4 linked regions of the Notamacropus eugenii genome follow. The protein of the gene in region 2 purifies or fractionates together with the protein of the main gene of each other region. This does not show direct contact. Links are inferred from orthologs where the notes say so. Each region holds a gene or a part of one and is shown on either strand. Other genes may lie near its edges. The genes, in order: TMEM259, TMUB1, ERLIN1 and AMFR.

What was found.
Region 1: the proteins of TMUB1 (region 2) and TMEM259 purify together in Homo sapiens (affinity purification with mass spectrometry; 3 studies listed by BioGRID, with this or other methods). This does not show direct contact. The link is inferred for Notamacropus eugenii from reciprocal best matches to the Homo sapiens genes TMUB1 and TMEM259.
Region 3: the proteins of TMUB1 (region 2) and ERLIN1 purify together in Homo sapiens (affinity purification with mass spectrometry; 3 studies listed by BioGRID and IntAct, with this or other methods). This does not show direct contact. The link is inferred for Notamacropus eugenii from reciprocal best matches to the Homo sapiens genes TMUB1 and ERLIN1.
Region 4: the proteins of TMUB1 (region 2) and AMFR purify together in Homo sapiens (affinity purification with mass spectrometry; 3 studies listed by BioGRID and IntAct, with this or other methods). This does not show direct contact. The link is inferred for Notamacropus eugenii from reciprocal best matches to the Homo sapiens genes TMUB1 and AMFR.

What each region holds. Positions count from the first base shown.
Region 1 is NC_092875.1:61,373,603-61,381,213, reverse strand, and holds the start of TMEM259 (membralin), read left to right. Parts: upstream 1-4,606; 5' UTR 4,607-4,864; coding exon 4,865-5,155; intron 5,156-7,611. UniProt on the Homo sapiens protein: May have a role in the ERAD pathway required for clearance of misfolded proteins in the endoplasmic reticulum (ER). Promotes survival of motor neurons, probably by protecting against ER stress.
Region 2 is NC_092874.1:94,994,923-95,001,960, forward strand, and holds TMUB1 (transmembrane and ubiquitin-like domain-containing protein 1), read left to right. Parts: upstream 1-4,031; 5' UTR 4,032-4,128; intron 4,129-5,318; 5' UTR 5,319-5,345; coding exon 5,346-5,731; intron 5,732-6,186; coding exon 6,187-6,538; 3' UTR 6,539-6,964; downstream 6,965-7,038. UniProt on the Homo sapiens protein: Involved in sterol-regulated ubiquitination and degradation of HMG-CoA reductase HMGCR. Involved in positive regulation of AMPA-selective glutamate receptor GRIA2 recycling to the cell surface.
Region 3 is NC_092872.1:249,189,580-249,197,173, forward strand, and holds the start of ERLIN1 (erlin-1), read right to left. Parts: upstream 3,009-7,594; 5' UTR 2,887-3,008; intron 2,427-2,886; exon of another isoform or gene 2,337-2,426; intron 2,163-2,336; exon of another isoform or gene 1,357-2,162; intron 942-1,356; 5' UTR 931-941; coding exon 818-930; intron 1-817. UniProt on the Homo sapiens protein: Component of the ERLIN1/ERLIN2 complex which mediates the endoplasmic reticulum-associated degradation (ERAD) of inositol 1,4,5-trisphosphate receptors (IP3Rs).
Region 4 is NC_092872.1:473,920,809-473,928,224, reverse strand, and holds the start of AMFR (E3 ubiquitin-protein ligase AMFR), read left to right. Parts: upstream 1-4,397; 5' UTR 4,398-4,714; coding exon 4,715-4,993; intron 4,994-7,416. UniProt on the Homo sapiens protein: E3 ubiquitin-protein ligase that mediates the polyubiquitination of lysine and cysteine residues on target proteins, such as CD3D, CYP3A4, CFTR, INSIG1, SOAT2/ACAT2 and APOB for proteasomal degradation.

The sequences.
Region 1 (7,611 bases), on a different chromosome or scaffold from region 2:
TCAGACTGTCTTGGACTGGAAATCTCTTTCACGCTATCATTTTGTGGCTTCTACTGCTCTAGAATTTGCTTGGAGTCATTTTTTACAGGTATTTTATGGGCTATGGGGGTAGAGTTAGAGCAGGTCCATCCTTGTACTCTGCCATTTTGGCTCCTCCTTCTCCATAAACATAATTTTAAAACATCAGTAAGATGCAAAGAGAAGATGAATAAATGGATGGGACTGGATGAGGTCATCAAGAGAAAGTATAAAGAAAGAAAAGATAATAGCTCTGGATAGAGCCTTGGGGTTCACCCACATTAAGGGAATTGGACTTGGACAATGATCCAGAAAAGGAGGCTAAGAAGGAATAGTCAGAAAGACAGGAGAAAAACCTGTGTTCTTCTGATATGAAGAGAGCTAGGTCATAGAAACCAAGTGAGAAGAAAGTAGGAGGGTGTGGTAGGCAGTGTCAAATGCTCCAGTGAGGTCATGAAGGATCATAGGATCATTAAAGGTCATCTGATCCAACCTCCTCATTCTAATCTTAATTTCCTCATCTGTAAAATGGACTTTGAGGCACCAGTTACAGCTGTATTGGTATTTTCAACTTTTAACAACATTATCTCATTGGATCTTCACTACAATCCTGGGAGATAAATGCTATTATTATTTCCAATTTACAGCTGAGAAAATCGGAGCAGACAGAGATTAAATGATTTACCCAGGGTCACAGAGCTAGTAAGTATCTGAGGTTAGATTTGAATTCCGGTCTTCCTGATTCCAGGTCCAGCACTCTATCCACTATGTCATGAGTTGACTAGAACAAATATGAAGGGTTTTGATGGAGTTCTCTTTAATGGCCTCTGAAGTGTCTTTAAACTCTAGATCCTTTATATCCCTAGTTGATTGGAAGACCTATCAACAACTTGAGCCTTAACCCATTGGACCAATCAGATCTCAAGGACAACTTCCATGCCTTTCAGGGGAAGCTGTAGCCTAGCCTACATGGTTTGGTCCACTGGAGATCTCTTCAAGACTTTAGAATCTGGGAAGGTAAGGAAGGGATGCAGTTTATACAAGGCTGTCATGGGGCTCCCAAACATATAAGAATGAAATGAGAAAATTTGAACCTTAAAGTCATAGATGATTGGTTGTTACAATTGCTTTCTGTGCCTCTGCCTTCCTCTAAAGCATCACCTCAAAACAGGCTAGGATAAATAGACTTCTGGGCCAGTTAACACATCTCTTTATTAGGCCCACAACCTTCCCAAGGCTGGTTGTGAGGATCTCTAACTAGCTTTATTCAACTGAAGGTCCCCAGCCCTCACTCTTAGGGCAACTAAATTCCATTCACTCCTTCCTTTCTTTAGCCTCTCACTTAGTCCTTTTCCTCCTGGAAAAGCACTCTTACTGCTTTCTACTTGCCATTTTTTCATTCCTTCTCTCCCATTTTCTTCCCTTTTGCAGTAATTGTTCAGTCATTCAGTCTGTATCTGACTCTTCATGACCTTCTGGACCATAGCCATAGCCCTTCCATCCTCCACTACTTCTCCAAGTCTACCCAAGTTCATGTTTGTTGTTCCTATGATATTATTTGTCCATCTCATCCTCTTTCATCCCCCTTTCCTTTCACCTTCAATCTTTCCCAACTTCAGAGTTTTTTCCAGTGAGTCCCATCTTCCCATTATGTGACCAAAGTATTTAAGCTTCAGCTTTGGTATTTGACTTCCAAGGAATCGCTTCAATTAATTTCCTTAAATATTGACTGGCTTGATTTCTTGTCGTCGAAGGGACTCAAAAGTCTTCCTCAGCACCACAGTTTGAAAGCATTGATTCTGCAGCACTCAGCTTTCTGTATATAGTCCAGCTCTCACAGCCATATATTGCCACTAGAGAAACGATAGCTTTGACCATATGGACCTTTGTCAGCTTTTGAGTATGTTGTCCAGCTTTCCTTCCAAGGAACAAGGGTCATTTTATGGCTGCAGTTACCATCTGCAGTGATCATGAGCCCAAGATTATAAAATCTGACGCTGTTTCCATTTCTTCTCCTTCTATTTGCCAGGAAGTGATGGAATCAATCACCAAGATCTTAGGGTTGTTTTTTTTTTAATGTTAAGGTCCAAGCCAGCTTTTCTACTCTCTTCTTTCACCCTCATCAAGAGGCTTCTTAATTCCTAGGTCATGCAAATTACCCTGAGGTTTGGAGTAGCCTCAAGATGGCACTGGAAATACAGACAGCTGGCTCCTTCCTTGCAGAGGCCACAAAAGTTTATGTCCTCCATTCCATGCAAAGTGAGAGAATTGGACTAGATGTTTTGTGAGGATCTTTTCTGTCTTGAAATGCTATCAGTGACTTATGGGAGAGGGCCCAGGAAAAATCTACTCTTCCAGAATCCCAGATTTGTCCCCAGCCTGGTTTCTTCCTGGGTCAATGTCTTCTTCCTCAAGAATTTGGAGCCTTCTAGTATGTAGTTGGTTGGCAAGATGCCCAAGAGCTTCTTCTTCCTTCAGTGTCTGGTTGGCAACATCACTTCAGTGATCCATGAATTCATAGAATTTGGGGTTGAAAGAGTTCTCAGCAGAGACCATTTAGTGCAACCCCTCATTTTATAGATAGGGAAACTGAGGCCCAGGGAGGTTAAAGTGACTTTCCCCAAATCAGAGAGCTTGTAAGTGGCAGTCAAGATTGTGAAGCTAAACCTTCCATTTCTAAATCCAATATACTTTCCAGTATCCCACTGGGACAACCCCTTTACTAGTTGATCTTCAGGAGTTGGCTAAGGTCTCATCACTATCTTGTCAAGTCTGGTGATGAGCCTCTCAGAAGTTAGCTATGTTGGTCCTCAGGGGACTGACATAAAGGGCTATTGACCAGACTTTGGGTTTTGGCCTTGTAAAACTTTGTTAAAACATTTTGGAGATACCTTGTTTCCCAGAGCTAAGGGCCAGCAAACAGGCTGTGTCCTGACCTTGACAACAATAATCTTTTGCACTCTGGATGATCTCACCCTCTGGCAAAATGTATTGCACCAGGTCTTCAATCCTTCTATTTCCCAGTGACCTGAGAGCCAATATCTACCACGTCTCTGACATGCTCACAATCCCTGTCCTTGTCACAGAATTCTGGTTCTGTACCCCATAGAATAATCATGATCCCCAAGACTTGGGACAATAACGTTTCTATAGGACCCCTAGGAACAATAACGCAAGACCTAAAAATGATTATATCATAGCCCAGTCCACATGTATATAAACATTGCCTGTACCCCAACATGTTAGACCCTCGTCAGGAGCGGGGCTTCCTTGGATGCAAGTCATTTTCCTCACTCTGAAATAAATTATACCGCTACTTTGTATCCGGACACATCTGCCTCTAGCTCCTCTGGCCATGCCCAGGTTAGAGACTGGTCCAGTCTGGACTCCATTCAAAATTCTATTGACAACCCAGAGAATCTTTGCCAAGGAAATCCCATGGATTTTCCCAGAGAGCTCCACAAGGATCATGGGTCTGACAGAACCGACAGAACTAAAACGACTGAACAGTTACAACAATCCTAGCCCCTGGCGCATAGTGGGTGCTTAGCCATTGATTGTATCCGGGACCAACACACAGTAAGTGTCTTGAACTGCGTGTTTGCAAGATCTCTTTGAGGTGAACACTATTATCCCCATTTGACAGATGGTGAAATTGAGCGTGAGGAAATGTTCAGTGACTCGCCCTCAGGCATACAACTAGTAAATGCTGAGCTGGGGTTCAAGTCCACCACTTTACCTCCATTCCAGGGTGTTGAGGTTTCTTCCTCTTCCTTCCCCGCCCTGATCTCACTACACTTATGCTGCCTCTTACAGGACAATAAAAGAGGGAGGCCACCTGGAGCACAGGGATGCTCCTTCCACCCTCCTCTGGAAGCTTTGGTCCAGGGGTTTCAGGTACAGGTTGCTACGTTTCACATTCAGTTGTACACAGGCTGAATGCTCCTGGCCTCCCTATACATGAGAGCGAGCGAATGTGAGCGTGTGTAGATATATAAACACATACAGATATACACATATTTAGACATATATACAACCTCCAACAAAGACCCTTTCCAGCTCTGAAATCCCTCGCGTCTGCCAGGCGTTACAGAAAAACTTTGGAGGAGTTTGAAAAAATATGGAACGCTTCACGAATTTGCGTGTCATCCTTGCGCAGGGGCCATGCTAATCTTCTCTGTATCGTTCCAATTTTAGTATATGTGCTGCCGAAGCGAGCACGAAAATCAGGGGCTAGCTCCTGCTATTTAAGGCTGAACAATAGATCTATTTTATGATTAGGATGACTAGTATTGCCACACATCATTTTTCTTTTTATTCTTCTCTAGATGAAGCCAGTCTCAGAATAAGAACTCAACGTATAATTGAAAAGTAAAATTTTCCCACTTTATTCGTGTTGCACTAGAAATGCGGTTGCATTTGCAAAACTTCGAGTCGAAGCTTGTGCGGCGGTGGCTCACGGGAGAGTATGCAAAAGACGCCTTGGCTTGGCCCCGCCTGGGCGGCCGGGAACGGAGGGGAGGGCCGGAGAGGGGGAGGGAGGGAAGGGCGGAGGAACCGACTGGAGGGCGGGGCTGTTCCTCCAGCGTCCCAGGATTCACCGCGGGCGAAGCCGTCTCGTCAGCAGGGCCGGGGTCGCGGCGACTGAGGCGGCGAATGGCGGCCTGTAGGCGCCTGTGAGGAGGCGGCGGCGCGGCCGGAGGAGAAGCGGCGGCGTCCGGAGCGTGGGGCAGGGGCGAGGGCGAGCACCCGGCGGGAGCGCCGCGGCCCAGGAGGGGCCCCATGGCGGCTGGGCCGCCTTCCCTGGGAGCCCCGGCCTGTTAGCGCCCCGGCGGCCCAGAGCAGAATGTCGGAGAACCCGCCGCCGCCCCCGCCCGGCCCCGGGAACGCCCCGGGCAGCGGCCCTGCCAACTCGGCCGGCGGGGCTGGGCCCGGGCCCGGGGGGGCGGCGGCCGGAGGCGGCGGGGCCGGGACCCCCCGCGGGGCGCGCACCCCCAACCTCAACCCCAACCCCAACCCGCTCATCAACGTGCGCGACCGCCTCTTCCACGCGCTCTTCTTCAAGATGGCCGTGACCTACTCGCGCCTCTTTCCGCCTGCTTTCCGCCGGGTCTTCGAGTTCTTCGTGCTGCTCAAGGTGAGCCCGAGGGCCGCAGCACCGCCCTCCCCCCCGCTCCGCCCTGCCGGGCTCAGCAGCCCCCCCATGGGCGTCGTGCCCCCCTTGTGCGGAGCCGCCACCCCCATGGACGTCCAGCCCCCCAGTGCCCCCCTTGTGCAGAGCCACCCCCATGGACGTCCAGCCCCCCAGTGCCCCCCTTGTGCAGAGCCACCCCCATGGACGTCCTGCCCCCCAGTACCCCCCTTGTGCAGAGCCGCCCCCATGGACGTCCTGCCCCCCAGTACCCCCCTTGTGCAGAGCCACCCCCATGGACGTCCTGCCCCCCAGTGCCCCCCTTGTGCAGAGCCACCCCCATGGACGTCCTGCCCTCCAGTACCCCCCTTGTGCAGAGCCGCCCCCATGGACGTCCAGCCCCCCAGTGCCCCCCTTGTGCAGAGCCGCCCCCATGGACGTCCAGCCCCCCAGTGCCCCCCTTGTGCAGAGCCGCCACCCCCCTGGACGTCCTGCCCCCCAGTGCCCCCCTTGTGCAGAGCCGCCAGCCCCCCTGGATGTCCTGCCCCCCTTGTGCAGAGCCGCCACCCCCCTGGACGTCCTGCCCCCCAGTGCCCCCCTTGTGCAGAGCCGCCAGCCCCCCTGGATGTCCTGCCCCCCAGTGCCCCCCTTGTGCAGAGCCGCCAGCCCCCCTGGACGTCCTGCCCCCCAGTGCCCCCCTTGTGCAGAGCCGCCAGCCCCCCTGGATGTCCTGCCCCCCAGTGCCCCCCTTGTGCAGAGCCGCCACCCCCCTGGACGTCCTGCCCCCCAGTGCCCCCCTTGTGCAGAGCTGCCCCCCTGGACGTCCTGCCCCCCAGTGCCCCCCTTGTGCAGAGCCGCCCCGATGGACGTCCAGCCCCCCAGTGCCCCCCTTGTGCAGAGCCACCCCCATGGACGTCCTGCCCCCCAGTGTCCCCCTTGTGCAGAGCCGCCCCCATGGACGTCCAGCCCCCCAGTGCCCCCCTTGTGCAGAGCCGCCCCCATGGACGTCCTGCCCCCCAGTGCCCCCCTTGTGCAGAGCCGCCCCCATGGACGTCCTGCCTCCCAGTGCCCCCCTTGTGCAGAGCCGCCCCCATGGACGTCCAGCCCCCCAGTGCCCCCCTTGTGCAGAGCCGCCCCCATGGACGTCCTGCCCCCCAGTGCCCCCCTTGTGCAGAGCCGCCACCCCCCTGGACGTCCTGCCCCCCAGTGCCCCCCTTGTGCAGAGCCGCCCCCATGGACGTCCTGCCTCCCAGTGCCCCCCTTGTGCAGAGCCGCCCCCATGGACGTCCTGCCCCCCAGTGCCCCCCTTGTGCAGAGCCGCCCCCATGGACGTCCTGCCCCCCAGTGCCCCCCTTGTGCAGAGCCGCCACCCCCATGGATGTCGTGCCCCCCTTGTGCAGAGCCGCCACCCCCCTGGACGTCCTGCCCCCCAGTGCCCCCCTTGTGCAGAGCCACCCCCATGGACGTCCTGCCCCCTGGTGCGGAACCCCCCCATGGATGTCCTGCCCCCCTTGTGCAGAGCCACCCCCCCATGGACGACCTGCCCCCCCAGTGTCCCCCTTGTGCAGAGCCGCCACCCCCATGGACGCCCTGACCCCCAGTGCCCCCCTTGTGCAGAGCTGCCACCCCCCGGACGTCCAGCCCCACAGTGCCCCCCTTGCGCAGAGCCTGCCCTGGAGCACTCAACACTCCCCTGATGGACATCCAGCCTGCAGACCCTGTGGTCTGTGATGGACATCCTGCCTCCCTAGTCTTTAACAGCCCCTCCCACCCCCTACCCTTTGCCTTTGAGGGCTGTACTTCACATTGATCTGACATCTTGTCCCCAAAAGTCTTTAACACTCACTATTTCCTCCTTGCCCCCCAAATCTGGGCCCTCTGCCTTCATCTGAGAAGAGGGGGGGATAGTGAAGCTATTTGTGGATTTGGGGGATCTGAATCCAAACTCGAGGTCTTGAGCTTAAGAGCTGTGTGACTGGACCCCCTCAAGGCTTGGTTTCCTGTCCTTACTTGGATGGAGGTTAGACCAGGTTCTAAAACTGATTCTGACCCACTGTCCTGCCCCTGAATCAGCCAACAAGTATTAAAAGCTTACTATGGGCCAGGCACTGTACTGAGTGCAGGGAACACAAAAGACTGGGACCCAGTGCTCAGGGAGATAACCTTCTGGTGGGAAAAAAAACATGCAAGCCTTGTAAGAGCCATATAAAGGTACACACGGGGAAAGACCCTGAGGATTTTAAAACCTCCACCTCGGTATCCCTTTCCAGATCCTATCCCCCTGCAGCCACTTTCATGAGTCTGTGCCCCCCCCCCCCAATTTTGGAAGGCAGGATAGTGCATTGAAAGAAGCAGTATATTTGGAATTGGGGGGATCTGAATTCAAATCCTTTCTTTGCCTCTTTATAGAGTTGTGAGATGGACTTACTTTTACCGCTTTGGGACTTCTTTTCCTTTTTGAG
Region 2 (7,038 bases):
GCCAAAGTTCACAAACGGCCTCCCACTCTTGGGGGGCGGAGGGGGGGTTCCGTCCTGAAAAAAGATCCTGAGGTCCAGGGAGTGAGGGTAAAAGCCCTGGGGTGGGGCGCAACCCAGCCCCCTCCCAGATACCTCCTCCCCACTCCTTCTAATGCCCCAGGGGCGGCTCCCCAGGAAGCAGCCGCATGGATCTGAGCAGGCGGTTCTGCAGAGCACGGGTGGGGACTGGAGGGCGTGGAATAACGGGCCCGCGCCCACGCGGCCCCCGGCGCCGAACCACGCGCCAGGCCCGGGCCCGCAGCTCCCCCGCCGCGGCGTGGGGGGGTGCGAAGGGTGAGGGGAGGAGAAGAGAGCCGGGGGCGAGCGCCAGCCTCTGGGGCCGGGAGGGGCCCGGCCCGGGAAAGCTGCCATTACCAGGGAGGCTCCGGATCCCCAGCCCCCAGGGAAGGACGGAGCAGCTGCCCAGACGCCTCCACCGGAGCGGCCCCACCTCCCGCGCCTCCAGTTCTGGATGCTCGGCCCCCTCCCCCCGGCCCTTTCACCGGTCAAACTCGACCCTCCCCCTCCCCATTCAATCTCGGGGGTTCGGCTCTCGCGCCCTCCACCCCGGGCCCGAGGCAGCGCGAGGCAGCGTCCGCAGTCTGCAGACGGGGCGGCCTGAACCGGGGCCCCAGGGGAACGTGGCTCGGACCCCAGCCCGAGCGGAAGCTACACGGCCTAGACCCCAGCCCTGCAAAGCCCTCAGACGGGAAACGGCGTGGCTGGGCCCCAAGGAGCCCGCGGACGGCCGCTGGCCACGTCCGGCCCCGGGCCCCCTTCGGATGGCGGCTGGAGTGCCCCGGGCCCCTCCGGCCCCGCAGCCCGCGGCGTCCCCGCGCCCGGCTTACCCTCGATGGAGATGACGTGCTCTCGGATCTGGTTCTGCAGCCCCAAGTCCTCGATGCGCTCGATCAGGTCGTAGATGGCGTAGATGTTGGGGTGCACCGACTCAAAGCGCTGGATCTCGGCCCGGATGGCCGCCGAGTTGGACAGCGCGAACTGCTGGGGGGGCCCTCCGGCCAGCTGCTGGGAGGGGCCGCCGGCGCCCCCAGCCCCGGGCCCCGCGCCGCCGAACTGCCCACCGCCCCCACCGCCCCCGCCGCCAGCCCCCGAGGCCGCCAGGCTCTGCTGCTGCTGCGGGCTCTGCCCCCCGCCCGCCTGGAAGTTCATGGCTCGGGAGCCGCGGGGGCCGGGCCGGGGCGGGGGCGGCGCTGCTGCGGCGGCGGCGGGGGTCGGGGTCTAGCAGGGGCCGGGACCGCGGAGCCGGAGGTGCGGGGCTAGCGCATGGAGCCGGAGAGCCGGACGCGCCGCCGCGGCTGCTGCAGACGCTGTGGCCGCCGCTTCCCGGGCGCCCCCCGGAGCCACGAGCCCGCCGCCCGCCGCCGCTTCCCCCCAGCAGCCAGCGGCAGCGGCAGCGGCAACAACAACGGGACCGGGAGCGCGCCGCCCGGGCCCTCCCCCCGCGTCATGCGCACGCACCGCCGCCCCCGCCGGCACCGGCACACGCAGCCCTAGCCCCCCTTGCGGCCGCCCCCGCCCCGTCCCCTCCCCCTCCTCGGCGCGCGCTGCCCGCCGCCTCGGTGTCCGCGTCCGCCTCCGCTCCCACCCCTGCGTGCCCCGAGCTTCTCTCGGCCTCCGGAGCCCTTCCTCCTCTGCCCCTCCCCCGGGCTCCCCAGGAAATCTGCTCCAACGCTGCGCCTCGCCCCTTGCCTCGAGCCTGGGAGACGGCGCCTCCCCCTTGGTTTACTTTCTTCACTGAGTGGTCACGGACTGACTGCCCAGGTGCCTCCTTGCCCTCCAGGGTCAGCCCCTCACGGCCCTGGAGTGACCCGACATGCCAGGTCTCCGGTGGGCAGTGCCTGGGCTCTGACTGGCTGAGAGAGGAGGGACCAGCGTCCAGGCCAAGCTTAGTGCACAAGTACAAGGACTGGCACATAGTAGGCGCTTAATAAATAGAAAGCTGTCTTGCCTAAATCTGGCTTTTTATTCTCAGACAGTAGCAGGGCCAAGGCTTGACGTCATCATGCACTCATACATTCATTACTGGTATATTCTATCATGGCCTGGTTCTGCCCCCCACCCCAAGCCCAGTAGTTTCTCAGTTCTGGTTCTAACAGTATTGTCTTTGTGTCCCCAACACCTAACACTTCTGTGTTTAATTTTTAAAAAATATTGATTGAAATATCTCCAGAGCATCACACCTCAGGAGTCAATGTGTTGTATTCTCCATCACCCTAGCCTCCTATTATTTAATTCTTTGTTCTTACATCCCCAAGGTAGTGCTTAACACATGGTAGTCTGTTAATAAATACTTGATTGATTTATAGGATAGAAAGAATTAACTGGAATATAACTAAGCAGGGTTGCATACTATACAAAGAAATCAACCAGGGACAATAAATGTTACTATACACTCTCTTTGCCTTTGCCAGTCCTGTTCAAGAGGACCTACCATAATGTATGTCTGTTCGTTTTCCTTTTCTCCAAGCCCCTTTCCTCCTTTATTTTGGCTTGTGTTCAGCTCATGTAGATCCAGAAAACCATCTATAATTTTCCTCCCCATCCTTTTCCTCTGCTGGAGATGCCTCTTCTGTTCCCTGGAAATCCTTAAAATCTATTCTTCTGATCTGGAACTTCCAAAATAAGGAATTCCTACTAGTCAGACCTGTGATGTTACAGGCAGGCTTTTTGTGGTAGAAGATATATCTTCAATCTTCTGCCGTCTCTTGTTCCCAAAGTCGAGCTGCTTTGAGCCATTAACTTTTCTCCTAGTGTGCCCAAGGGTTGCTCCAAAGTCCCTGTGGGGTTACCCTTGGAACTAGTTGCTAGCCAGTCAGCACCTAGTAGCTCCCTGGGAGATGTGAGTTCAAGTTTCATTTTTGTCATTGATTAGCTGCGTGGGCTTGGACAATCCAAATTACTTTTCTAGGCCTCCGGTCCTCTGCCGTAGGATTGAAGGAATGGGACTAGATGATCTATAAATTCCCTTTTAGTTCTAAAATTCTCTTATTCTAAAATATCTTGCAAGATAACTAAACATAACGTATTCATATGGTGCTTTGATTTAGAGTTATGTAGCTTTGTAAGGTTTACAAAATGCTTTCCTAACTAAAAGTCTGCAAGGTGAGTCGTGTAATTATTATTTCCATTTTACAGAAGATAAAACTACTACTCACATAAGAGTTTGCCAAGTTCACATAGCTGGGGAATGGAGAATGAGATTAAAACTAAGACCTTCTTATTATAAGTTGTAATACAGGGGTGAGGTCCCGGAAGCACAGGGAAAAATGAATTTGAAACCAAAGAAATTGGAAAGGGGAAGTTGTAGGTGTGGGAACTAGACGCCCCTCAAAGTTGGATAGGTATCAAGACGGGCACAGTTCTGGGGCTCATCTCAGATTCTTGGTACCAGGTTTCTATTAAAAAACAACTGGTGATGGTATTTGACTGGGTTAGTTTCTCTGGCAAGTCACTTTCTGTGAAAAGAGAAGTGAATTCGGAATGAGGCAACCTGCTACTTAGTGCGATATTAGGCAAATCCCTGTACCCCCTCTATGGGTTTCACTTTCCTCATCCACAAAATAAGGACGTTAAATGTTATTAGGGTTCTTAAAGCGGAGTCCTTGAAGTGGCTTAAAAAATATCAGGGTAATTACATTTCAACATAATTTATGTTCTTTTTAATTCTGAGTTTTACTTTATGCACTTAAAAACATTTACCTCAGAAGGGGTCGCCAGTCTTCATCAGACTGCACACGCCAAAAGGACAGATGACCCCTTCCAGCTTTGACCCTGCCTTGCAGCTGGCCAGGGTTACTTGGGCTGAAGAAACCCAGAGAAAGGGTACTCCCTTTCCTGACCTTCCCCATCTTCTCCTACTCTTTCTGGTCCCAAGCCCGGGAACGTTTCCGGGACAGTTAGGCGATGAGGGGGCGGGGCCGAGTGGCATCCTCGGGACTACAAGTCCCATAATGCTCGGGGCTGGTCTGTGCGGGGCGGGGGGGGGGCGGGTGGACAGGTAGGAGCGACCTCGGCGCCGCGCTCCCGGAAGTACTGGGGTGTCCGACATGGAGATGGACCAGCTGCGCGGTGAGTCGAGGGCACTGGGACCCCTGCCAGTCCTATTCTCCCCACCTCAACTGCGGCCCCAGGTTTTCCCACAGCCTCCTGCAAACCTTTTAATTTTGAGGGTGTCTTTTGGGGTGGAGGGAGCTTCCCAAGGGGATCCCGGGTCCCGGGCTTGGTGATGGGGGAGGGCGGGGAGAGGATAGGACCGGACAGGTGAATTTGGGGGCTCTAGGAAACAGAGAAGAAAAAAAATACCCATAGGGTGGATTTGGGGCTTGGTGAAAGGGGGTAGTGGGTTCTCTAAAAAGATAGGAAGCGAGGTTCCATAGGATGGGACTTGGGGTTTGGGGGTGAAAGGAGTGGTGTAGAGATGAATGGGGGGGTGTTTAGGAGACATGAATTGGGTCCCAAGGGAGGGGACTTGGGTTTTGATGATGGAAGGAATTGTGTGGCGATGGGGGTGGGGGGTGCCTTTAGGAGACTTGAATTTACGGTCTCAAGGGATGATGGAGGGAGGAATTATGTAGTGATGGGGGCGCGACAAGCGTTGAGAAGATATGAATTAAGGTTCAAGAAGGTGGACTTGGGGTTTGGAAAGTTGTGTAAGTTGGGGGAGGGGTTTTAGGAGACAGAATTGAGGTTCTAAGGGATGGGATTTGGAGTTTAGTGATGGGGGAGAAACTGTCTAGAGATGGGGTTGAGGTCCCAAGAAATGGGATTTTCAGTTGATGGGAGTGGTATATGGAATCAAATTTAGAGGCTTTTAGCGAACAAAAGAGTAGAATTAATATTGTAGTAGGGAGGGGCATGTAGAAGTGGGTTTGGAGGCTTTAAGATGCAGAGAAGTTGAATAAGTTAGGAGTTAGAGTTTGATTGATTGTGGGGGTGTTGTAATTGAATAAAGTGGGGGGGCTTCAGAAGACCAGTTGGGAGGTCCAAAGGTGGAATTTGGGGTTTGGTGATAAAAGAGCAGGTTTAGAAGACAGAGGCTTTAGAAGACAGCAGTGTTGAGGTACCACAAGGTGGGATTTGGATTTTAGAGATGAGGAATAGAGAAGTAGGTTTGGGGACTTTAGGAGACAAAGGAGGGCAGCTGGAATTCAAGAGTTGAGGGCTGTTGTGAAGCTGGACTAGAGTGGGGAATAGAAGACTAGTGAAATAAGGGGGTTTTAATAGGCCAAGATCTCACTGGTCTCTTTATGTCCTCATAGCTCAGTAGCCTGGCCTAGGCGGGTGCCATGGCCCTGATTGAGGGGGTGGGGGACGAGGTGACTGTCCTTTTCGGGGCACTCCTCTGTCTCCTGGTGCTGGGCCTGGCCTGGATCTCTACACACACCTCAGAACAAAGTGATCTGCTGCCCCAGGACTCAGGGACCCCCTCCCCACCACAGTCCAGAGAGGTTGCAGTATCCACAGTCAGCAACAGCCAGGATGCTTCGGGATCTGAGGCCCCCACACTGAGACACCGGCTACCAAGCTTACAGTCAGAGCCTGGCACGGTATCCCCAGAAACACCACCCCCCAGCTCTCAGCCAGGACCCTTGGTGCTTAGGCTGAAGTTCCTCAACGACTCTGAGCAGGTGGCTAGAGCCTGGCCCCACGATACCATTGGCTCCTTGAAAAGGTGAGTAGGGGTGGGGAGAGAAATGGGAAAGGCAGGGAAGGAGATGCTGAGAGAATGGGTTGGAGTCGGATATAGAAGCTCAGAGGTCATCTCAGTTCAGTGGTATCAAACTCAGAAGCAGACCCCTGCAGGGACTAACTGACTTAAAAAACCACAAATTCACATCTCTGGGGCATTGTATTTTTATTTATTTTGTTAAACACTTTCCAGTTACATTTAACCTGGTTGGAGGTCGCTGGTTTGACACCTCTGAGCCTGCCTAATTAGTAGAGGAATTGGAGGCAAGCCCAGATCTCCTAACTGTAGCGCTATACCGGGCTGCCTCTCCTCTCTGATGGACTGCGGGCTAATGGGATGGAGAAGGGCAGTGGAAGGGGGGCGGGAACTGTTGCCACAAGGCGTAGGACTAGGATTGGCTGAGACCTGCTCTCTTACCCAGGTCCCTCTCTCCTCAGGACCCAGTTTCCAGGCCAGGAACACCAAGTTCGACTCATCTACCAAGGGCAGCTTCTAGGAGACGATGCCCAGACACTGGGCTCACTTCACCTCCCCCCCAACTGCGTTCTCCACTGCCACGTGGCCGCCAGAGCAGGTCCCCAACACCTCGGCTGCCCACCGGGGTCAGAGACCGGCCCCTCGGGGTTGGGAGTGGGCAACCTGCTGCTCCCGCTGCTGCTTCTCATGCTGACGCTGCTTTGGTACTGCCAGATCCAGTACCGACCCTTCTTTCCCCCAACCGCCACCCTGGGCCTGGCCGGCCTCACCCTGCTGGTCAGTCTCCTGGCCTTCGCAATGTACCGCCGCTAGTGCCTGCCCGGGCCCAGGGCCGCAGCCACCCCGGATCCCTGTCTCCGAGGCACGGCGGGGGCTGCTGCCTGCCCCGGCCCGCCGCTCGGCCGTGCCTCTTTCCCCTGCCCTGGAGTCCGGCTCTGCACCGAGAGCTGCGAGGGCCCTCGGAGCCCTCCCCATGTGACCAGCACTGCTCCCGGCTGGGCCCCGGGACCGCGGGCGCCCACCCCCCGCTGAGAGCGGCCTCGCCGCCGGGCCGCTGCTGCCCCTGCCTGGGGGTGCAGGGCGTGCCCAAGCCTTTGGGCCCCTCCAACGCGCAGCCTGCCCATGCGCCGTGAGAGTTGCCAATGACCCCCAGAGCGCCTGCCGGGCTCGCAGGACAGGACCGTGCCGCCGCTCTGGTTCTTTGCATAGACTTCTATTAAACAAAAATGTGAATTCCCAGCGCAGCGGGCTGTGTGCGTGCGTGCGCGTGACCTGGACAAGGGAGGGGCCTGCGCGGAGCAGCGGAGTCCCCG
Region 3 (7,594 bases), on a different chromosome or scaffold from region 2:
ATGGTACATCCAAGTCATTGTTAATTTGAAACAAAATACCATTCCTAACTACTAGTCACAGTTTGTCATTTCTTCTACCAAATTACCCCTATAGTGACCTACCTGTAAAAATATTCAAAAACAAGCTTGTTTAAAGTATGTCTATGTCCTCAATTAGAAAAATGTGTTCAACTCAAGAGTTAGGAGAAAGGATACACTGAAACTGGGAGTGGTAATACTCTTTTAATTAACTCTCTGCCCAAGGCCTCCATTGACTGATCTCCCTGTAGATAACAGATCTCTGTGAGAAGTGCTGGCAATAACATCTAAGAGAAACTAAATTTTCCACACTATTTTCCCCTTACCCTGTAAGCTAGACTAACACAGGCTGAAAAGGAGGAAAAGTAGAGTGTACCCAAAACTATTTACACATTTATCTGCATCTCATCCTTCTTAGCCATAATGTGTTATGGTCACTGTTTAGAGTGATCAGATTCAGGAAAACTCCTGGAGAAAAAGGTTGTCAGGAAGAAGCTAACAAACAAATAAGAGTACCAGCCCCACAAACACTGAATGCCACTGAGGCTCAAGGACAACCCTGGGCCTCTGCAGTGTGTAAAAGTCAAACCAGTTGTAACCAATGTCGGTGGCACCGCCCCCCGCAGTACTATGTACTTCACAAAGGTTGCTTGATGATAATCAACCCAATTCCAGGACTCTGAGACAATACTGTAGTAAGGACAACTTCCAAATTCCCAGGGATCATAGCTGTCTTTGTTGGATAACCTAGGCTGGATGTACACACTGGTCTGTTGGGCTCCCATGACCTGGCACTCACCTGTAGTACACAGCAAGGTGTCCCTCCTCGATCCTGTGGATGGAGGCGTAGAGGAGAACCACCACCAGCCCTGCAGCTGCAGCCCCCAGAGCCCCGGCTTGAGTCATATTCATCCTGGCTCTTCCTATATGAGGAGCGAACCAATAGTTCTGATCTCCCTTTCCCCAGATGGTCCAGTCCCCTCTCTATAACCAATGTTGAGAAGTCTAGGTCTCCAAAGGAGCCTCTCTTCCTCCCCTCCCTCATCTGCACCCTCATAGAAATGGTCCCTTCTTCTCTGACCCACCCATTGCCCAAAACCCACCATAATTCCACCCTTATTTCCAGTGACCTCCCTCTTCCCCAACAGCTATTCCCACAAAATCCTCCATTACCCACTTATCACATCTTTTCCATTCAGCCCACCAGTTCACTCCCCCTTCCCTCTCCAACCCCCTTTTTCTCACTCAATAATTCTAAATGAACCCCACCCAGCCACCCCATCCATCCCTCAAGGACAATCTCTATCTCTCTCAATTACAACATCTCCTGACAAATACCTTTTTCCTTCAGTTAACAGCAATTTTCCCAAGACACTTCCTCTTTACCAATAATCCCTCTTTTCTAGAATCTCCCTTTCAACGATACTCTTTCTTTCCTCCCTCAATGAATTTCAGTCTGATCAGACATCTCCTACCCTACTTATCCCCCCTCAGCAACACACCCATCTACAAAGTCACTAGCCTTAACATGGTCTCCCCTCACTCTTCACTGTGAGGATCCTCACTCCTACCTGTGACCGAACCTTCTGGTTCAGTAAAAAAAAAAAAACCTCCTACTCCCCTTCTCCTCCAGAGACACCTCCAGAAACGCCCACTCTCTTAAGTGATAATTTTTCCTTCCCCTTCAATGACAATGTCTATTCCTGACAAATGGTCCCTCCACTTTGCCTCAGACAGTCCTTATAACGGCTGACATTAATGTACAGTCTCTTAATGTAGCCAGCTTCACATACAACTTATCTCACTTAATTCTAACAGCAATGCTAGGAAGTAAGGACTATAGGTATCCTTATCCCTAAGGGATAGTGTCAGGGAAGCCAGGGAACTGTCCGTGGTCACACAGTGTCAGGTGGAAGCTGGACAGCCCTGAGTCTTCCAAGTCTAGTGGCAAACTCTCTCCCGTCAGGATATCCACTTTTCAGTCCTGCTTCTCAGGGGCAAAGAAACAGGGAATCCCAAGTGACTCTTCCTTCTCTCTCTGTGACTAAGTCCACCCTTAGTGATCTCCCCCTCCTCCATGACTTCCTATCACCTAAGGAGTGGCTCAGCCTCAATACTCCCCCTGGACTCCGACTGACCGAAGAGACACAAACTGCCCTCCGGGACACCCCCTCACATCAGCCTCTGACCCTCCCTTCCGGCCATTCTTGCCCCACCCCTCACTGATCATCCCCGCTAGTGAGTGGTCGCCTGCTCCTCTGCAGCCACCACCCTCCAGACTGCCCTGGAAAAGAAGGCTGACTGTGTAGCCAGATGACCTGCTTAGAGGCGGCTAGGTGGCCCAGGGAACGGAGCACCGGCCCGGGAGTCAGGAGGACCCGAGTTCAAATCCGGTCTCTTCCAGCAAGTTCTCAGCAACTCCTCTCCCTCCCACCCCCTCCGCTCTCGGGTACAAGTCATCCACGTCCCTCCCCCAGAGAAGGCCTGGGCTTCGGCTTCCCGGTGGGGAGCGCCAGGGGCTGCAGGTCGCCAGTCCGAGCAGGAGCTGGACTAGATGACCCCATCGGGCACCTCCTCTACCGGGCCCCCCACACCTGCTTTCTCCCCGGCGGCAGCCCCCGCCCCTGCCTGACATCGCCTCTGCTCCCTGCCTCCCCTCAGCCTCGGGCCCGGGCGGGCAGCCCCGCCCTTCGGGACAACCTGGGGGACCGGGGTGCCCGGCCCCCGCCTCGGCGGAGGTGGCTTGTGACGGCCGCGCCCCTCAGTGACGCCCCCTGCCCCGCGGATGCCGCCTCCCCCTCAGGTACAGCCCCCTGAGGAGGGAGGATGCCTCTGCCTCCCGCCCTCCCCGCCCGCCCCCAGTCTCACCGATCGGCTGCGCATCTCCCCGGCGACGCGCCGAGCTCGTCGCCCACCTTGCCAGGGACCACCGGCCGCCCACAACCGCCGGCGGGCCCACAGTCCCGCGCTTCTGCGCAGGCGCCCGGTATACGCATGCGCGGTCACATCCTGTACGGTCAAAAGGGGGAGACGGCGAGTGAGCCGAGACAAAACTGGTCTCTCGCTCTCGATGCGCGTTGCTTGGGTTTGTCTCCCCCTGGTGGGGATGTTAGGATAGGAGCCTAGATCCACGTGGCACAGGCGTGGGAGGCCTGCTTCCGAGGAAGGGTGGGGCAGGGACATAGACCCTGAAGCTCCTGTGCACCATGTCAATTTCTGGGAGGTTTTCTCTTTCACTAGGGAGCTGTGGGATAGAGCAAACAGCTAGGTGGGCAGCCCCTCAGCTTTGCCTGCCATCCACCTTCCCAGCTGCCCAGTCGATCCAATAAAGATTAAGATTCTGCCTGCCTTCTCTGAACAAGCATACTTTCATACATATATGCATGTATAAGAAAGGAATGAATCAAATGAAACAGAGATTTCAACAAACCACTGGAAGTGTCTGGTATGTCAAATTCATTTCTTTCTTTTGCAGAAACTTCTCACTAAGTTGCAGTGAAAGTTATGAAAAAGAAATAGTAATTATGCAACTGATAATTCTGATAGATATAAGGACTTGAAGTGAACAAACATCCATTTCTTTTCATTCAAGTTTTATTGTAACTCCTCTCCTAAACAAAAGGTTTGCTTGGAAGGGGGGAAAGTGGGGAGGGGGGGGAAGTAGGGGGGAGGGTTTCTTTTTGTTTTATTCCTGGAGGATGGGTTTGCTTCTTATATTTCGATTTTAGCTCAGTTGAACTTATAGTTATTAACTGCCAATAAATGCTTGTTGAACAGGCTTAAGTTCATGCTTGGACATATTAGACTATTTTAAATGATTAAAACAATTATTATGTTTTATTATGGGAGTATCATATATTTGCCTTCTCAGTGTGTGGGAGCAAGCTTACAGGGAGGAAAAGAATTTGAAACAAAAGTTAAATGAATTTTTAACAACTTATTATATATGAGAGAAAAAACTTGGATGATCTTGCTTGTGTTACAACTCAGAAATGGGAGTGGAAATTCCTCACTGTGATCTTGTGGGAGGGGTTAACTTTGTTTTTCAAAGATGTGACAACACACCAAGAAGTAAGATGCCCATTCATCTCCTCTTAGAAAAGAAAAAGGCAGCAAATAAGAAATGATGAACAGGAAGGCTTCAGAGAGGCCTGGAAAGACTTATATGAACTGATGCTGAGTGAAAGGAACAGAACCAGGAGAACTTTATACACAGCAACAACCACAGTGTGCAAGGAATTTTTTCTGGTACTTCTTGCAGTGCAAAGACTTAAAAAATTCCCAATCGTTTCTTAAGGCAAAATGCCTTCCACATCCAGAGAAAGAACTATGGAATTCAGATCACAGAATGAAGCAGATCATTTTCTTTTGTATTATGTTTTGGTTTTATGGTTTCTCCCATTCATTTTGATTCTTCTATGCAACATGACTAAGGTATGTATTTAATAGGAATGTATGTGTAGAACCTATATAAAACTATGCCCTCTCAGGGAGGGAGTGGGAGGGAGGGGAGGGAGGGGGGGAAATTTAAGATATATGGAAATGATTGTAGAACAGTGAAAACAAATAAGATAATAATTTTTTAAAAATTTGTACCAACAAAAAAAAAAAGAAAAAGGCAGCAAGACACAATGGATAGACAACTGGCCCCAGAGTCAGGAAGACTGAGTTCAAATCCTACCCCTGAAACGTACTGGTTTTGTGTGTTGCAAAGGTACCAAGCTACATTGGGAGAAAGTATCCTCAGCTGGGCCTTTTGTACCATAGAGTCAGAAGGACTCAGGACTGTGGGTGTGTGCTTAATAAATAAGTAGTCTGACAAGAGGAAATTCCAAGGGTGTCATTATGTAGCTTGTAAGGACAGATTGTATTCATTTGTATTCCACAATGTAGCAGGAAACTAGGTAGCGAAGTGAAAGCAGTGCTGAGCCTTGAGTCAGAAAGAAGTAAGTTGAAATCCAGCCTTAAATACTTAGCAACTGGTCCAGTCACTTAACATCAGGTTTGTCTCAGTTTCCTCAACTCTAAAATGTGAATAATAATGACACATACCTCAAATAGTTGTTGTGAAGATCAAATGAGATGCTATTTATAAAGTGCTTAGCACAGTGCCTAGCACATATTAGGTAGGATACAAATGCTTATTCCCATCCTTCATTGCTTTTCAAACCTAGCTCAAGTGTTGAGAGGCAGCTTAGCACTGGGAATAAAGGTCTGCCCTTGGAGTCATGAGATCTGGGTTCTAGTTCTGCCTGTGACATCGCCTGACTGTGTTACCCTGAGTCAGTCTTCGAATCTCTCAGCACTCTAGGGAAATCAACCTAGATGTCCTGGGAGAAGTCCTTAGTTTGGTGGTTGTTTTTAAGCTGGTCTTGTGATTTAATCAGTGGAGTATTTGTCCACTCAGCCCAGAGGAGTAAAAGGAGGAGTTGGGCCAGGAACTGAAGCCTCATCTTCCCACTTCCAGGGGCTGCTGCCTCCCGGCATCTGCACCAGCTTTTTCAATTCTGCATTTTCTCAGACACTTCCACCTCTGGGCTAAGTTGCAGGTGGGACACAGATAAATACATCATGGTACTTCTAAGCTATCTAAGGGCAATTCAGTTCAATAAGTACCAAGTGCCTGTTCTGTACAAGGTACTTTGCTAGGTAATCTGCAAACTAAGACAAAGTGTCCCTCCCTTCAAGGAGTCTCTGGGATCCCAATGTAAAAGCCAGCCTCATACTTTTAGGGCAGAAAGGATGTGAGAAGCCATTGAGTGCACTCCCCTCACTGGAACATGGAAGAAATGAGAGCTGTAGAGGGGGAGCCACCCAGGAAGGCTCTTCTGACTCCAGAACCAGAGTTGTTCCCATGGGGCCATGCTTCCAGGACATAGATAAGTAAATACAAAGTCATGTCAAGAGGTAGATCTAGAGTTGGATGAGACCTTCAGGTATGGTGCTTCCCAATTGTTTAGGGACTTGAATAATAGGTTCAGGAACATGGGATGGTTCAGAAGAGAAAGTGAGGTTTGTAACCTTGCACATCCCTCCCTCACTCAAAACAAAGTCAAGTGCAAGACATGTCATCATTTCTCTGATGGCATGGTCTTCTTGGAAAACGGAGGACAAACACAGAAATTTTATATATATATGTATGTATGTATATATGTATTTATGCATGTGTGTATGTATGTATGTGTATATGTGTATATATGTGTGTGTGTATATATATACATATATATGACTCCAATCCCCATACCTCAAATATCAAAATACAATTTTTTTAATTTGCAGAGAGTTGTGTGAGGCACTAAAAGGCTAACCCATGATCATCCCACCATTTGAGGCTACCTCTCAAAAAGATGCAAATCTAACAAACATGAAGTGTCCATTGTGTGAGAGCCACTGGGGGGTGTACATAACCAAACAGGCAAGGAGACAGACTAGGTGGAATAAGAATGAGAGAATGAGCATAAACATAAGGCTATGAAGTAAATTGGAACCAGATGGTAGGTAACCTTGAAAGTGAAGATCAGTTTATACTTTAGTAGGTAGGCAATGAAGAAGGTTTTTTTAGCCCAGTAGAGAGAGCTGAGGCAGCTATATGATAGCAGTAGAATCAGGACAGAGCTGAGTTCAAAGGCTACCTCAGACACTTACTAGTTGTGTGACCCTGGGCAAGTCATTTGACCTTGTTTGCATCAGTTTCCTCATCTGTAAAATGAGCTGAAGAAGGAAATGACAAACCACTCCATGATCTTTACCAAGAAAATCTCAAATGGGGTAATGAAGACTCAGACGCACCTGAAACAACTGAGCATGTTGTTGAAAAGAACCGTTGAACTTGAAGTCACAGGATTATAGATGGAAAGATGGAAGAGATCTCCAAGGGCCCCACCTTTATAGCTTTGTGGCAAGGAGCAAATGAGAAAATGTATACACAGCGCTCTGAACACTTTAAAGGGACAGACAAATGCTAATTGTCATTAGAAATAACTAGATCACTGTGGGTTAGGGTTAGAAAGATTACTCAGACAAGCAAATAAATTTAAATGGAGGGGAGATGAAACCAGGGCAAGAAGACCAATTAAGAGGCTATTTAAATAAATTACCTAGAAGAGACTCTAAAACAATGTTACAATAGATGGTGAGAGAAGGGAGACAGCAAAAGATATTGCAGAGAGAGATAATTATCAAGACTATTCAAGTAAAAAATAAATGAACAAATGGTAACATCATCGAGAGAAACATGTTAAAAGGAAGGGCAGGGCAGGTTGGGTATAGGGAAGAAAGAAAGACTGATTTCAGCTTTGGATATTTTGAGATTAAAATACCAACTGGATAGTCAGGTGAAGATGTCTATGAGTCAACTGGAAAAAATTGGCCTAGGACCTGGGAAGATAGTAAAGGTAGGAATAAAGTTTTAGGACTTCATCTGTATAGAGGTGATGGTGGCAGATCCTTGGCCACAAGCTGAAATGGGGTACAAGATTGACTTTTCTCAGGCACAACCTGTAAAACTAATTCCAGTCCTAGACCCAGCCTTATTCCTGACCACTGACTCACAGACTTGGCAACACACTGATCCCTT
Region 4 (7,416 bases), on a different chromosome or scaffold from region 2:
CATTAAGTCCCCATGATATGTGAACTAACAACAGTACTAATTTAAAATTTATTTAATAAGGTTTATGAATGTGTGTTTGTTCAACAAGTTTCTATTCACTGACATTTATTTATCAAGTATTTATTGAGCCCTTATCAGGTAAAAGACATTAGATTCCTTGTTTGATTGTTTTAAAACTGCAATATATAGTATCATTCACTTTAAATATTCAAAGGAAGTTTGAATATTTCTGGCTGCAGTAATCGTCACTGAAAAGTGAATTCAGAATAGCCCTTAAAGTATTCAGTAGACTGGGGCAGAAAATGTAGAATCTATATTTATTTGCCTTAAGATCTCTTCAGTGTCAAAACAAGCATTTTATATGGCCTAAATTTTTTTTATGTATGAAACTACAAAAATAAACTAATATTCTAAAAGTCTTTAGAAGCACTAAGACTTGTGAAACTTTGTTAAGTAATTAAAATGTAGTATGATAATACTAATTAGAAAATGCCAAGTTTAATGCAGTAGATGGAGAAATTTTTCTGTCATAAATGATTTTCCCATCCCTACAACTTGCAATTACTTTGTTACAGTACTTTCAAGTAAAAATTTAACCTTTGAGAACTGCACATGAAGGGAGTGTGATTCAGTTTGCTTAGTGGGTTTGTACTTTTCAATCTTAGGTAAGAAAGTATAAGGTTTTCCAAATGACAGAAGCTAACAGTCTAGTCCATTTGATAACTCACAGCTTGTTCCAAATGAAAATCCCTTTCTAAATTTAGAAAAGTGAAGTATGTTGATTCTTCAGTTCCTACTTGTTTTTTAAGGCATTTAGTCTCTTACGTACTACAGCGTTTCTGAGATCATATCCTTGGAGAAACTTTTGATTACCTGATTTCAAGAGGCTTAACATTTTTGTTAGTTAATAATGGTTGGAACAAATTGTACTGATCTCTAAGACAGCTTCAAGAAGCTTGCTGCTTTGTGTGTCTTGCCAAGGAAAGTTCAAAGAAATGTTTAGAACTATAATAATTCCACCTCTGCATTTTATAATAGAGTAATGCTTCATAATTCTTCCATCACTGAAGTATTTGATTGCATTTAATTGGACTCTTGGTGTTTGCCTGAATCATTTAATGATTAAAGAACAAAAACATAATTTGAATTGGTCAGTAAAGTCCATTTTACTAATAATGGCATTTTCAAGTCACTTCTACATCTTGGCAAATTTGTTATTTTCTGAGAAACTGCTTGAAATCTGGTGCTAAAAGCTAGTACTGCTTTGTATAAATAGTTTGTGTTTTAGTGACAAAGTACATCATAAAGGTGGAACTGTAAGTAGGGAAGAATGTGCCCAGTTAGGATGCTAAGCCATGGAGGGCGGGAATGTTGCTAATGTTAAATTTTTATATCGTCTTTAAAGGAAGATGTGTACGCATCTTTAGTTTGGCATCAATAGCTATTTGCAGTATTAGATTCTTAGAAACTGTAAAGATATAAGTTCTGGTTTTATTTTTACATATAGAATGCAAGAGCTTAGTTTAAAAGGTCATTGCTGTTCCCTTTGTCATTTTAAATAAAAATCATTTAAAACAAAGATTCTGTGAGTGTTTAGGAACAGGTCCCCTTGTATAGTAAACCTCTTCTTCTCATTAGAAATTCTGCCTTTTTTTTTTTTTTAAATGAACTCCTATGGTAAAGAAGGTTTATTAAGTTCTGGTGTTTGAAATTAACATCAATATGTACCCACTTGTAAAATATCTTAACCACTTAAATTAATCCTACATTTAATGTTCAGAAAGCTTAGTCTCTTTGCAAAATGGAACATAAATAGAAAGCTGTTATGCACAATGCAAATTTTATTGGGGGGGTGGAATATGTGTAAAACTAAATGTAGAGAGGAACTTAAAAACCGTATTTTTTAAAAAGGGAAAAGGATGTGTCAAGTTATCTTAAAATATGGAAAAGTAGTAGTGTGACATGTAATATTAAACTGAAAGGACTTTTGACAACATTTACTTATAATTGTAGGGTATCATCTTAAACCTGTTGGGAATATCTCCCATTGCTAAATGCACTGTGGCTTGGATTTTGATAGGGTTTAAGATAGGAACTGTACCTGTGATTTCATGCAGGCCTGCAACTGATAAGTCTTAGAAGAGGAAAGTTTGCCCAGGTTCACAGAGTTAATATAGTATGCAGTAGAGGGTTTAGTTCATTTAAAAATCAGTACCAGGATTTATAGTTGCCCTGCACATCAGTAATTCTCTTAAAAGACTATTACCTTTTTACCTTATTTTGAGTAACTCAGTGTAGTAAAAAGAATTGCTGGGTTTGAACTCAAGAGCACCCAAGTTCAAATCTTGGCTATTATAATAACAGTTTGGACATAGATAAGTTATTTCTCCTTTTTAGGCTTCAGTTTCCTCATCTGTAAAATAAAAGAGTTGGACCAGAGACTCCAAGGTTCCTTCCAGTTCATAATGCTATGCTCTTACTGCTTATATAAAACAAGGCCTTGTTGGACTGAATCAAGTAGTTTTCATACCTTGATCAAATATTCTTGGATCCTCCCCATTTTTTTCTCCATCATGGGGATGGAAACACCATAGTTTGTAAACGTTGGAGGGAGCACAAGTGCTTAAAAAGTCATCTTGATGCAGTGAGGCCAATACAATGGTGACTAGTTAGAGACGAAATTACTAAAGTGGTTGAAAGCACCTTCAGTTTTTAGTACTCTGTTAAGCCCAGGGAATAAATAACTGGCTGTTGGGGGAATTTACTTCAACATACAAGTATTGAGCCAGGTTGTAGGTATTACATTTGACCGATAACTTTAAACTTCTAGTTCCACCTCTCTTATTGATGAAATTGAGGGCAGGAGGGTTTAAGGTTGCCTAAAGTGGCTCTCCACGGCTGCAAACTGCCTCTTTTTCTAGGTAGTTCTCAAAGTAATTTAAAATGACAGTGCAGCACCAATTTAAAAAAAAAAAAACTGATTTAAGAAAATCCTCAAACATGAACCTATATCCATATATATCCAAAGGTGATGAAATGGGGATTAGGTGTGAAACCACGAATGTATTAAAGCTTATTTTTTAAATGACGTTCAGCCTGGTAGGACCTACATCACCCTACTTGTTTATGTCCCCTTCTGAATTTGCTTCAGCATTTAAAATTTTTTTTTTTTTTTTTTTTTGCTGACACATCTTTGTATCAATGTTGCTGCCTTCGGTGTTCTTGACAATAAAAGCCCTCTGGCAACAAGCACCGTCAAAACTAAGAAAATTTATGATGGGTGTGTTGGAAAATATCTCATTTCACAGTTACAATGAATCATTCGTTGGCAGTGGTGTTTTGTCTGGTTCTTCAATTCCCTTTTTCTATGCCGTGGTTGTTGCACAAATAGTTATGTTTCTGTTCGATCTGCATCAGTTGAGTGAATGAAAAAAGGACGGAAGCGCTTCTAAGCCAAGTACTGTTCGTGACCCCTTTGGGGTTTTCTTGGCAGAGATGCTGGAGTGGCTTGTTCTTTCCTTCTCCAGCTCATTTCACAGATAAGGAAACAGGCAAACAGGGCTAAGTGACTTGCCCAGGGTCACACTACTGGGACTGCATTTGAACTTGGGGAAAAAACTGTAGGCTGGGCACTGTTCTTTCAGCTACAGTTCTATGCAGCTCCTAATCCAAGAAGCCAATGATAACTGATATTTGTAAAGCACTTGATCCTCAGAGTAACCCTTCGATGTGGGTGCTATTATCTTCATTTTACAGATAAACAGGTTGAGGGCCAGTAAGTGACTTGTCCAGGGTCACCAGGGAGGAACTTGAACTCCGGCACTGTGGCTCCCAGCCCACCGCCAGAGCCACCGTATTTCCCTCCAGAATGGAGTTGGTGCGCTTAGCAGCTTTCGACTTTTAAAAATCGTCAGTTCTCGAGGAGACGGAAGCTTTCCGAACTTAACAGGTGACGGGAGTGTACGAAATAATTCTGTTAATTTCTTAGTGAGAAGGGAGGCGGCGGGGGAGGACCGGTCGAACCGCTCAGCAACCGCAGCTTCTTGGGGGGACCTCGCGGAGCGCCGGCCCGGCCGAGAATAGCCCACAGCGCGGGCCGGGCCGAACGGACTTTACGCTGGCCGGGGCCGGAGGTCAGGTGGCCCTAGTCTCCTCTCGGCCCCTCTCCTAGCCCCAAACCCCGGTCCTGTGCCTGCAGCCCCGGAGCCGTCCCTACCTTGCTCTGGGCCTCAGTTTCCGCCTCTAAAGTCTGGGGCCCTGGCTGCCTCGGGGCCCTTCCCGCGACTAGTTTCCCCCGAGCTATTTTGGCTCTTCCGATCTCCCGCCCAGCCCTCGCGGGTTTATGATTTCTGGAGGCGGAGGAGGGAGGGTCAGCTGCGCCGCCTTCAGCCCCAACCTGGAGGCGGGCGGCTCTGGGCTCCGCGGCTCGGAGCGGCCCAGGAGAGGGCCCGAGGCCGGTCGGGTCCCGCCCCGGGGCGGGAGGGGCGGCCGCCGGCCCCGTGGCCGAGGCTCTTCCGCGCCGGCAGGGGCAGTAGCGGGAGCGGGAGCGGGAGCGGGAGCGAGCGGCGGAGAGCCGAGGAGCGCTGTCGCCGTCGCAGTCGCCGCCGTTTGGAGGAGGCTGCGCGGGCGGGAGCGAGGGAGGGAAGGAAGAAGGGAGGCAGCTCCGGGGCCTGCGAGGCGAGGCCCGGGGCCCAGGGCCGCTATCCCCGCCACCATGCCGCTGCTTTTCCTGGAGCGCTTCCCCTGGCCCAGCCTCCGCACTTACACAGGCCTCAGCGGCCTGGCGCTGCTGGGCACCATCGTGAGCGCCTATCGCGCCCTCAGCCAGCTCGAGCCAGGCCCCGGCGCCGGCCCGGGAGAGCCCGAGGCGCTCGCCTCGCCTCAGCAGCCGCTGCAGCCCCAGCCGCCGCAGCCCAGCGCCCTACCGGGCCCCGGGGGCCCCCGGGCCCGAGATGTGGCCCAGTACCTGCTGTCCGACAGCCTGTTCGTGTGGGTGAGTGGGTGCGGGGGGGCTGGGCACAGGGCGGAGGGCTCGGAGGGGAGCCCGAGTGGGGGCGGGGCCGGGCGAGGGGCGCCTGAGCTGGAGGAGATCGACAGCTCTGGGTAACTGGGAGCTGTGGGTTAGGAGCCTTCATGTTTTAGGGGATCCTGCAGAGCGCCCCTGAAAGGACGCCTTTGAGTACGTAAAGACAATCACCCCCGCACCCCGTGTCCCTCCCCTCCCCCCCGCACCCTCGGATAGGAGGCAGCATATCAGAGTGGGCAGCGGAGACGGAGTTTATGAACGTCGGGGTCACCGCTCCAGCGTGCGGGGGTGTACTTATGAGACAAATGAGTAAACTGAGGGCCACAGGGGGAAAGCGACGTACTTGTGGTCACAGGGGTAGAAAATTCGTGGCTGAATTGGAACTCCACATCCTTTTATTCCAACTCCGGTGCTTCCATATGTGGATGGGAACTTTTTTTTCCCTTGAGATCAGCCACATTTGGGGAGTTTTTTTTAAGGAGCGTGAATTTCAGAGGTTGTCAGCAGTATAACTGTATTAATGAGCTTTCCAGAGACAGGGAAGAAGAATGTTAGGAGCTTTGATTCTGAGTGATCCAGAATTGTAGACTTGAGTGTAGACTTCCTTGTCTTGGCATGAATAAGGCCCATTTTTTCTCACTGAAAGATCTTGTTCTCTTTTACCGCTGTCTAGCAAGGACCTGTTTGCGTGTTTGGTTTTCTCTCTTTACTTAACCATGAAACCAATATCCAGACGGAGGCAACCTACACTTTCAGAAATATAGCTTGTGCTGGCACGTGAACCGAGAAAGGAGTTAAGAAAGTCGAGAAGGCCATACATAAATAGCCAGTCTAAAAGAGGGGTATATATCCGTGTGTGTGTGTGTGTGTGTGTGTGTGTGTGTGTGTGTGTTTCTCGTGTAAACCATGCAGCACCAAGTACAGTTACTCCACGATTGGAGACTGTCAATTTCGTTGTCAATTTCGTTGTCACTCACTTTGCCCTTTTAGGTCAGTGTCAGCCTCTCTGTGACTATTCACTTGGTATCCAAAATCACAAGAGTGTGTGCAGTTCCTTCAAATTAATACCACTGTTTCAGAAACAGATTTATAAACTTGAGAAGATTATAGAGATGTTCTTGTTATTTTGAAATTCGAATTCTCCTGACTTTAAAAGTTAGGGATATATGCAAGATACATGAAATTTCTTTACCTCTATTTATACTGGGTCCATTTGTTCCATGTAGCACTGATACTCTGTAGTAGCGTGCTATTTTTAGGATAGCAGTGGGGAAAGAATTCATTTCATTCCATTGAAATTTTAAGTGAAATTAATGTTTTGTACTTTGTTTAGTTTGAAAATTGCTTACTTTAAATGGGAAGAATGGAGTTTGACAATTCTTTAAGGTTATAATATCTTTAATATGTGGGGGGGGTTTTCTTAAAACTTAAGATATAAATAAGTCTTTGATAAGTAGCTCTTGTGCTTATATAACAAACAGTCACTGGTATTGTTTAGTGATTTTTTCCTAGGGGTTTCTTCTTACATATCTACTGTTGAAATTCCAGTAGTCTTAAATATATTCATAAAATATTAGGTAAAGCCTAGTGATTTTTTTGTGAGTTATTCTTTTAAAATTGTCTTTTCCCCCTCATTTTTCTGTCTGCTTTTTAATAGATGACTCAGTTTGAGGTTTCTATTTCTTCTGTATGTGGATATATTTTTCATTTCTTAGTTGATCTTTTTCCTCTCCTTTTTCTCATATTTCTGCTTTGCATTAATCTTGACTTACTGCATTTCATTTACCTTCTTACAGATTGGTTTGTTCTTGCTTTACTTTTTCATTTCTTACTCTTTTTATTCCTTAACCTGCTTTTTTGCACTGGAACATTACTGTAATGTTGTTCGGAGCTGAGAACAATTTGGTATAATGTAGTGTCCCAGAGGAGTTTGAGTTATTGAAGTGTCTAAAATAATCTTATAATGAATTGGTCTTGTTTATAAGATACATCTATGGCATGGATCCCTAAGGACACCAAGGTGAGTCTCCATGGTTCTTAGATTAGTGACTTCTTTGACTTGTTCTCTTCTGTTTTACTATAGGTTTTTTTTCCTTATTGGTTTTCAGTGGTCTCTACTTTCACCTGCTATCGTGTGCTATTTTGCATTGCCTGGCTTTCCCTTTTGTAAAGGTAATAGGCACTATTATATTTTCAGATTCATTTCTCTTAACTCTACACTTCTGTTAATTTGGCATGATGGTAGTTTTTCAAGGCTTTTTGTATCCTTATAAGTACCTCTTGAGCTATTGTACCAGGCCAGCTAAAAATTATTCAGCTTCTTTTTTCTTGATACATTATATTTATTACCTCCTTTTTTCTCTTTCCTTTCCTCTTTTGTTTATAGAGGA